2 linked regions of the Saccharomyces cerevisiae S288C genome follow. The gene in region 2 interacts genetically with the main gene of each other region. Each region holds a gene or a part of one and is shown on either strand. Other genes may lie near its edges.

Region 1 (3,668 bases), on a different chromosome or scaffold from region 2:
CGATTGTTTAACAATTTTCAGAACTTTAGTCAAGCTGTACCCTATTATGTACGTTATGGTTCCTTACGTTGTTTTTCTACAGAATGAACGGATTCCTAGCTGGTATACTGTCGTCTACTTGTACATAATCACAGGGATAAAAACATTTTGTGGCGCTTTAACGTCACCACAAATTATGTTATTAATTCATAATTCGAGTCCCTTGAGTTGTAGATCAGTCATCAATGGCGCCACCATTAGTATTTCTGCCTCTGCTCGTTTCATAGGTCCCTTAGTATGGGGCTATATTATGTCTTGGTCCCAGCAAAATGACGTCGCCTGGGTCAGTTGGTGGTCGTTAAGTCTTTTTTGTATGGTAGCTCTTTATCAAAGTTATAAGATAGCACCAATTGATGATAACGAAAATGAGCTTCATGGACAGGGTAGTGAAGATGCCTACAATTCGCAGTCACAGTCTTCTGATTTAAGAATGGCTCATCGATCTAGTTTAAGCAGCTTAAGTAACCAACGCTGTACCACATGAGAAATTTTTTTTCAGAAGGCTTGCAAAAAGGATATCTAATAAAAAAAAAAATGAACTCCAGTAGATTTTAGATATCAACCATAACTGGCGAAAATTTGCACCTTTTTGATGAGAGCATGTTATGTCAAGGCATGGCCGCGTGATGGCATTGCACTCAAGATAGTTTCCGGAATTATTATACTCCTTATGTAAATTTCAATCCGTTTATGTAATTATATCCAGGAACTCAATTTGACCAGACAAGTAATGGCGCCCATTTTGAGCGAGAGAACCCATTTTTCTATACAAATTTCACTAGAGCACGGCCGTTACATTTAGTAATAGCCAATAAGGGTTTTTTATCGATTAGTGTTCCCTGCGCTCCTTAACATCATACAACCGAGTACTTGACATGGAGATAGTAGGCAAGTAAACCAAAGTCCTTTCTTCAAAAGTAGAAAACTTGAGCACTTATTTCCTGCGCATGTCATATGTTAATTTTCCTCAACTGCGCTGAATACGTCCTGTCAATTCAAATATATCACGTTGTGAGCAGCCCTGAAGAAGAAAACCTCAACAGCAGTATTACTATTACAATCAAACAACTTTAGTGCCGCGTGATACCGGGGGTTGAAGTGGGTGCATTGAGCCGTATTCTTCTTCCCCGTAAGAAAGTTGTGTATCCTTTTTACTGCGTTGTAATAGCTTCTGAAAACCTAAAAAATGAACGCTATGTAGCTCATATCCGTTTTGCATAAGTAAGAATAACTACTTGTGCAGGGTGCCGAAAGGGATGGAAAACCGCTGCAGCAACCCTTGTTACATACAGTCGGATCCATCTGACTTACTTTCCTTGCGTCTCCCTGCGCGATTTTGTTGGCCATTTTCCAGATCCTCTAGAATTTTTCAAGGGTCGAGCCGTAGGAGGATTCTCTCAGAAGGCAAAAACGCATCGAAAGCGTGCTTTGTAAGAATATTTGGTATGGCTAAAGTAAGCAAAGCCATATCCCGATCCCGATCCCGACTCTTATTCCGATCCCTTCCGCCACATCCTGCATGTTTATTCGAATACCAAATTAGCTCATCTTCGTTATTTCATCATCCCTTTCTGCTATGGCAAGGACAAGTTTTTTTCTAGCATCTCATCGAAAACTTTCCTCTCCCTAATTGGCCAAAGTTTTCATATTCATCATCAGTTAGAAAGTATAATATCAATCCCTTACCTCATTACAAGTTGTATCACACTAAAAAAATCATATATAAGTCTGTGAGAGTCTTCAATTATTTAGCGTAACACCTATTCACTTTCTAATCTTGTTTCTTGTTTTTACATTCTGCAATACAACACAACAACAAATATTAACTCAATTATTATTATTTATAATTACAAAAACAAAACAACAAGTTTGAGACTTTAATATCTTTTGATTACTAAAAACAACAAATTTCAAATGAACGATACGCTATCAAGCTTTTTAAATCGTAACGAGGCTTTAGGGCTTAATCCACCACATGGCCTGGATATGCACATTACCAAGAGAGGTTCGGATTGGTTATGGGCAGTGTTTGCAGTCTTTGGCTTTATATTGCTATGCTATGTTGTGATGTTCTTCATTGCGGAGAACAAGGGCTCCAGATTGACTAGATATGCCTTAGCTCCTGCATTTTTGATCACTTTCTTTGAATTTTTTGCTTTCTTCACTTATGCTTCTGATTTAGGTTGGACTGGTGTTCAAGCTGAATTTAACCACGTCAAGGTTAGCAAGTCTATCACAGGTGAAGTTCCCGGTATTAGACAAATCTTTTACTCGAAATATATTGCCTGGTTCTTGTCCTGGCCATGCCTTTTATTTTTAATCGAGTTAGCCGCTAGTACTACTGGTGAGAATGACGACATTTCCGCCTTGGATATGGTACATTCGCTGTTAATTCAAATCGTGGGTACCTTATTCTGGGTTGTTTCGCTATTAGTTGGTTCATTGATCAAGTCCACCTACAAGTGGGGTTATTACACCATTGGTGCTGTCGCTATGTTGGTTACCCAAGGTGTGATATGCCAACGTCAATTCTTCAATTTGAAAACTAGAGGGTTCAATGCACTTATGCTGTGTACCTGCATGGTAATCGTTTGGTTGTACTTTATCTGTTGGGGTCTAAGTGATGGTGGTAACCGTATTCAACCAGACGGTGAGGCTATCTTTTATGGTGTTTTGGATTTATGTGTATTTGCCATTTATCCATGTTACTTGCTAATTGCAGTCAGCCGTGATGGCAAATTGCCAAGGCTATCTTTGACAGGAGGATTCTCTCATCACCATGCTACGGACGATGTGGAAGATGCGGCTCCTGAAACAAAAGAAGCTGTTCCAGAGAGCCCAAGAGCATCTGGAGAGACTGCAATCCACGAACCCGAACCTGAAGCAGAGCAAGCTGTCGAAGATACTGCTTAGAGCAGCTTGAGATTGTCTTAATCATTCTTTGCTTAACACATTTCAAAACATCAGTTTTCTTCTTTTAATGTCACTAATGAAACTTAATATTTAATAATCTAATTTTAATTTCTTTATGAAATATGCAAAATAAATTATATACACAAACACAATAATTAATAATCTAATCTCATTTTTCCAAAATCAAGAAATGTTCTTACTGCTTCCATGCCTGAATAGTCTAATCGATAGTAGGCCATTTCAATTCTTTTTAGTTATATGGAGACGCAAACACCACTTTATTTTAGCGTACCCTACCAAAATTAAACGATAATATGGTATTTTTATTCTCATTTGTTACACTCTATTCTGTATCACTGGATACATTCGCGGTAACTTGTTTTATAAAGTGAGATGGGATTTATGACCATTAGATGCATATAAAAGCTTCCAAATAATAATAAGATATTGTGACTTTTGGTGAACTAGATACGCTTTGAAATTCTTCATTTGTAATGAAGCAGGATTCACATTCAATATTTTGTAGCTTACAATTGTGAATGTTGCGTTTTCCTACTTTTTCCTTTCATTTTTCAAAGCATCGAGCATTTTTTTCATTTCTTCCAAACTCATCCTTTGCCTTTCAGGATTGATAATACTATTGTGTCTTTCCGTACTTTCTACCAAGTTCAATAACTCGCATATGTTTTCTCTTTGAGATAATAACTGAAATGCTG
Region 2 (3,933 bases):
AAAATAGAAAATTTTAACGAAGTTTTAGAATTCTATTGCATTTTAAAAACAGATCCAAGAGTCACACATAGCGGCATGAATAGAATTATCAGCGATTTGAAAGAATTTTTGGTTAGTTCCCTATACAATTTAGAAAACCAAATTGTTTTTAACTATTCTAATGAAGACACAATAAATAACGCATTGAAAAGATTAGGCGTTATATGGCGGATATTTTATCAAGAGGTATATTATGATTTAGCCGCTGTGTTATTACCGTTGGATCAGAGTATCAGAGAAGATGGTAATTCTACGGTTTTAAAGTCAGGCAATGAAAGTCGGACTCACATTAATGGTAATTATTCTATTGGGTTTCTTTTGCTTATGTGCTTTAGAGATTCAATAGTCTTACCTTGTTATGAAAACTTCGTAAATAGTAACGATGGTATCAGCAAAAGTTTTCAACTTTACATTTTCAATCAAGAAGAAGAAAGTAATGTCACAGAAACAGATAAATTGACATTACTGCAGTGTTTTGGCATATTGAGTACCATTCAAAGTAATGATAGAAATCAACGAATTATCGAAGAGTTATTAGCAGGCATTAGAATGAGTATATAGAAAGCATCTAACACTTTATTTCAATCTCCTATTTAATATCACAACAAAACTTTATTCCATCCTACACCAAGGTCTGTCATCGGCAATTTGATGCCTACAAAGTTTGGGTTCTAGCCCCAAACCAAGTAACGCAGCCAAAAAAACGCCAAAGGAATCAGCGATGGACACAGCACCCATGGCGAACTCTGTTTCATCAGGATCCTCTTGTTCGAGAATATTTAAGAATGTGTTAACATATGACGCACCACCAAGAAAACCCTCATAGAATATTAATATCATCACCGCCCAGGGCGAATGTGTGACATAAAACCATGATTGCAGTACCGTTATGCACAAATTCACACCTTGTAAAAACGCTAAGATGTATAAACTCCTCATTCTCATAAGATGTCCAAAGGATCTTGATATAAAGACACCTAATTGGTAGAGCGTTCCATAGGTTACGTATATATCTCTGTATTTATGGAAGAAAAATGGCATCGATTTACTTCTTTCATCACCATTAATCGGAAATAATAGGGTCGGAGCTACCGCTTGGTTTATTAAATATTCGAATAAGTAGACGGTGGTCAATGGAACCATGTATGGAAAAACCAATCTTCGAAGTCTCTTGACCGTTTGCAAAATGTGCTGTCTTGTAGAATACAGGGATTGCGAAGCGTTGGTATGTGTAAAGGCGACAGGAAAGGGCACCAACTGGTCATCCTCTGCTTCGTCAATTTGTTGAAGACTTTGGTAAGTCAGGTTGGTATCATTGGATTCTAATTTAAAATAAAACAAAAATGCAAATGGAAGGAGACTAAATACTAGTAAAGTTAGCTTCACTGGAACTTTAAAGATTGAAGTTAAGAACATATAAGATGCTCCGCCAATGATTCCTGCACCACCAGTACCTGACGACCATCCATTCAAAGAAATTTGTTTGTAATAGTGTGTTAGCTGTAGGAATGTCACTTCTCCAAATCCGGAAGATATAGATGCGAAAGATATTCCTAAAAGACAAACAAACAAGTTTTTAAAAGAAACTAAGAACATTCCTAAGCAACTCATCGTGATCAAAGACCATATTCTATAGCTGTACTTGATTCTATCAATAAAGAATGGGGAACACAATTTAATGGCGAGTGATGGGAATATATCTGCTAGCAATACTAGAGATTTAGGCAAGGTAGGACCCACGATATCAACAGCTGCTGAAAGTATTACCACATAAAGTACATTATTGATCAAACCAAAGAGCCAAAAGTAGCAATATATCTGATGAGATTTGTCACTCATTTATATTTACTTGCGCTATATCTTCATATGTGTTTAAGTACTCTATAAATACACTGTTCAAAACATTACTAAATGTTCATATTGTCTATTTTTCATTAAGGGTTCACTTTTTCTTGTAGTACGCGAAGAAAATATGGAATTATTCTGGAATATTGATGTTTATATTTACCACTTCTGCATAAAAATATACATGCTTTATAAAATCTATATATTGAGAAAAAGGAGTATAAAAAAAAATTTATCTTATAAGTAGTCCTTGAGTAGTTTTAATCTCTCTACGGCATTTTCTAGATAAGCATCATCTTTACAAACTGCAAACCTTAACAAATTCTCAGCAGCCTTTTCGTGCTCTTTGATATAGAATTCAGTTGGTGGAATGGCAACCACACCTAATTCATTGATCAACCAGTGAGAAATGCGAAAATCTTTTCCCTTATTCAGGATCTCCTCTGGGTAGGGATAGTCCTCGGGAATTTTCACTTTAGAGAAATCAACGAGGACAAAATATGTACCCTCTGGAGCTGTATATGGTAGTCCCAATTCATCAAAGATCGATGTGAAAATTTTGAATTTGTTGATATATTCCTGTCTCATTTTTTCAAAATACCCAATTTTTAAAGCGTCGTTAATAGAGTTTGCACAAGCTTCCTGTAGAGGGGATGGAGATGCAAAACAAATTCTTGTATGTGCCTTAGCTGCATAACTTAACAACTCTGCGTTCAAGGATAAGACCCAACCAATTCTCCAACCAGTAGCAGCAAACGATTTACCGGCAGAACCGACCGTTAAGGTTAGTTGCCCAATTTCTGGAGAGAGTGTGGCAATTCTAGTGAAAGAATCAGTGAAGTAAAGGTGTTCATAGACTTCATCAGATATAATCACAACGTTGTGCTTGACGCAAATGTTACCTAAAGTGGTTAATTCCTCGCGCGTGAAAACTTTACCAATTGGGTTGTGAGGGGTATTGATAATGACAGCTTTTGTCTTGGATGTAATCGCTTTTTCGAACTGCTCAAAGTCAATGGTCCATTCTTCACCTCTAGTATTCCTTTGATCCAATTCCTTTGGAGGATTTATGGGGACGTAAACAACTTTACCACCGCAAAGTTCGATATTTGGAATATATTGGTCAAAGAAAGGTTCAAAAACAATAACCTCGTCGCCAGCGTTCAAAAGCCCCATCAAGCAAGAAAGTATACCTTCATTGGCACCTGTTGTTACGGTAACATTTTCCGCTTTCAATTCTGTGTTATAAATAGGAGAATACAACTTAATCAAGGAATTAATTAATGAAGGTCGACCTCTAGTTGGAGAATATTGATTGACCATTGGAATGTCTAGGGCTTTCTGAGCCTCCTTAATGGCGAATTGAGGAGGGGAATATGAAAAAAAGCCTTGGCCTAAATTAATAAGTTCACGGCCTTGGTTTTTGGAGTTATTGGCAGCTTTTGCAGCGGCTTCATTGGTTAGCGACCAAACATCTTTGGCAGTGTTAGAAGTGAAATATTTGTTGGCAACAACTTTCGGTCTCGAAGTAGACATTAGGTTCGTAAATTGACGAATGAATCGTTGTTTCATTGAGAGCAAGTAACAATGGATTCTATACGCAATTATAGTAAATTGAACACTTTATATATATCTCTATCGTACCTTCCCCTTTTAAACATGACTGAATTTTGGTATCTTGATTGTCATAATGACAACAAAAAAGCCACAGTTCTACGTCACGTGCTAGACACGACATGCTACTGAAGAAATTGTTATCAAATGAAAAGATACATTTATGTAATAACCACTACCAGGCACTTGCTAAAAAGAATCTACGTAAGAACTACATAAAGGTTAGCTTGTGCGCCAGAAAGTGATATCAAAGTTTTATGAACGCTGAACAATTTTGAGCCAGTAATTATCTTGGCATAGGAGACGATAAATGCCATCGTTCTTTTAAAGAGCTTATTAAGTTATTAACTCTCTTCGATTAGACATTCTCTTATCAAACGAGTTACGTTACATTTAGGAATAATGCGACAAAGATGGAGGTCTTGATTCCTAAAT

What was found.
Region 1: of YHC3 (region 2) and HSP30, changing one enhances a phenotype caused by changing the other (phenotypic enhancement), as found in Saccharomyces cerevisiae (one study listed by BioGRID).

The regions. Positions count from the first base shown.
Region 1 is NC_001135.5:155,393-159,060, reverse strand, and holds HSP30 (Hsp30p), read left to right. Parts: upstream 1-1,953; coding exon 1,954-2,952; downstream 2,953-3,668. Other genes in the region: YCR023C (uncharacterized protein), read left to right, coding at 1-523; YCR022C (uncharacterized protein), read left to right, coding at 1,296-1,640; HTL1 (Htl1p), read right to left, coding at 3,505-3,668. UniProt on the Saccharomyces cerevisiae protein: Probably cooperates with other heat shock proteins in the translocation of polypeptides through membranes. It may counteract the altering effect of heat shock on the plasma membrane.
Region 2 is NC_001142.9:322,909-326,841, reverse strand, and holds YHC3 (amino acid transporter YHC3), read right to left. Parts: upstream 1,879-3,933; coding exon 652-1,878; downstream 1-651. Other genes in the region: BIT61 (Bit61p), read left to right, coding at 1-600; BNA3 (kynurenine--oxoglutarate transaminase), read right to left, coding at 2,122-3,456. UniProt on the Saccharomyces cerevisiae protein: Plays a role in vacuolar arginine transport. Involved in pH homeostasis. May be involved in ion homeostasis together with IST2. Not necessary for mitochondrial function or ATP synthase degradation.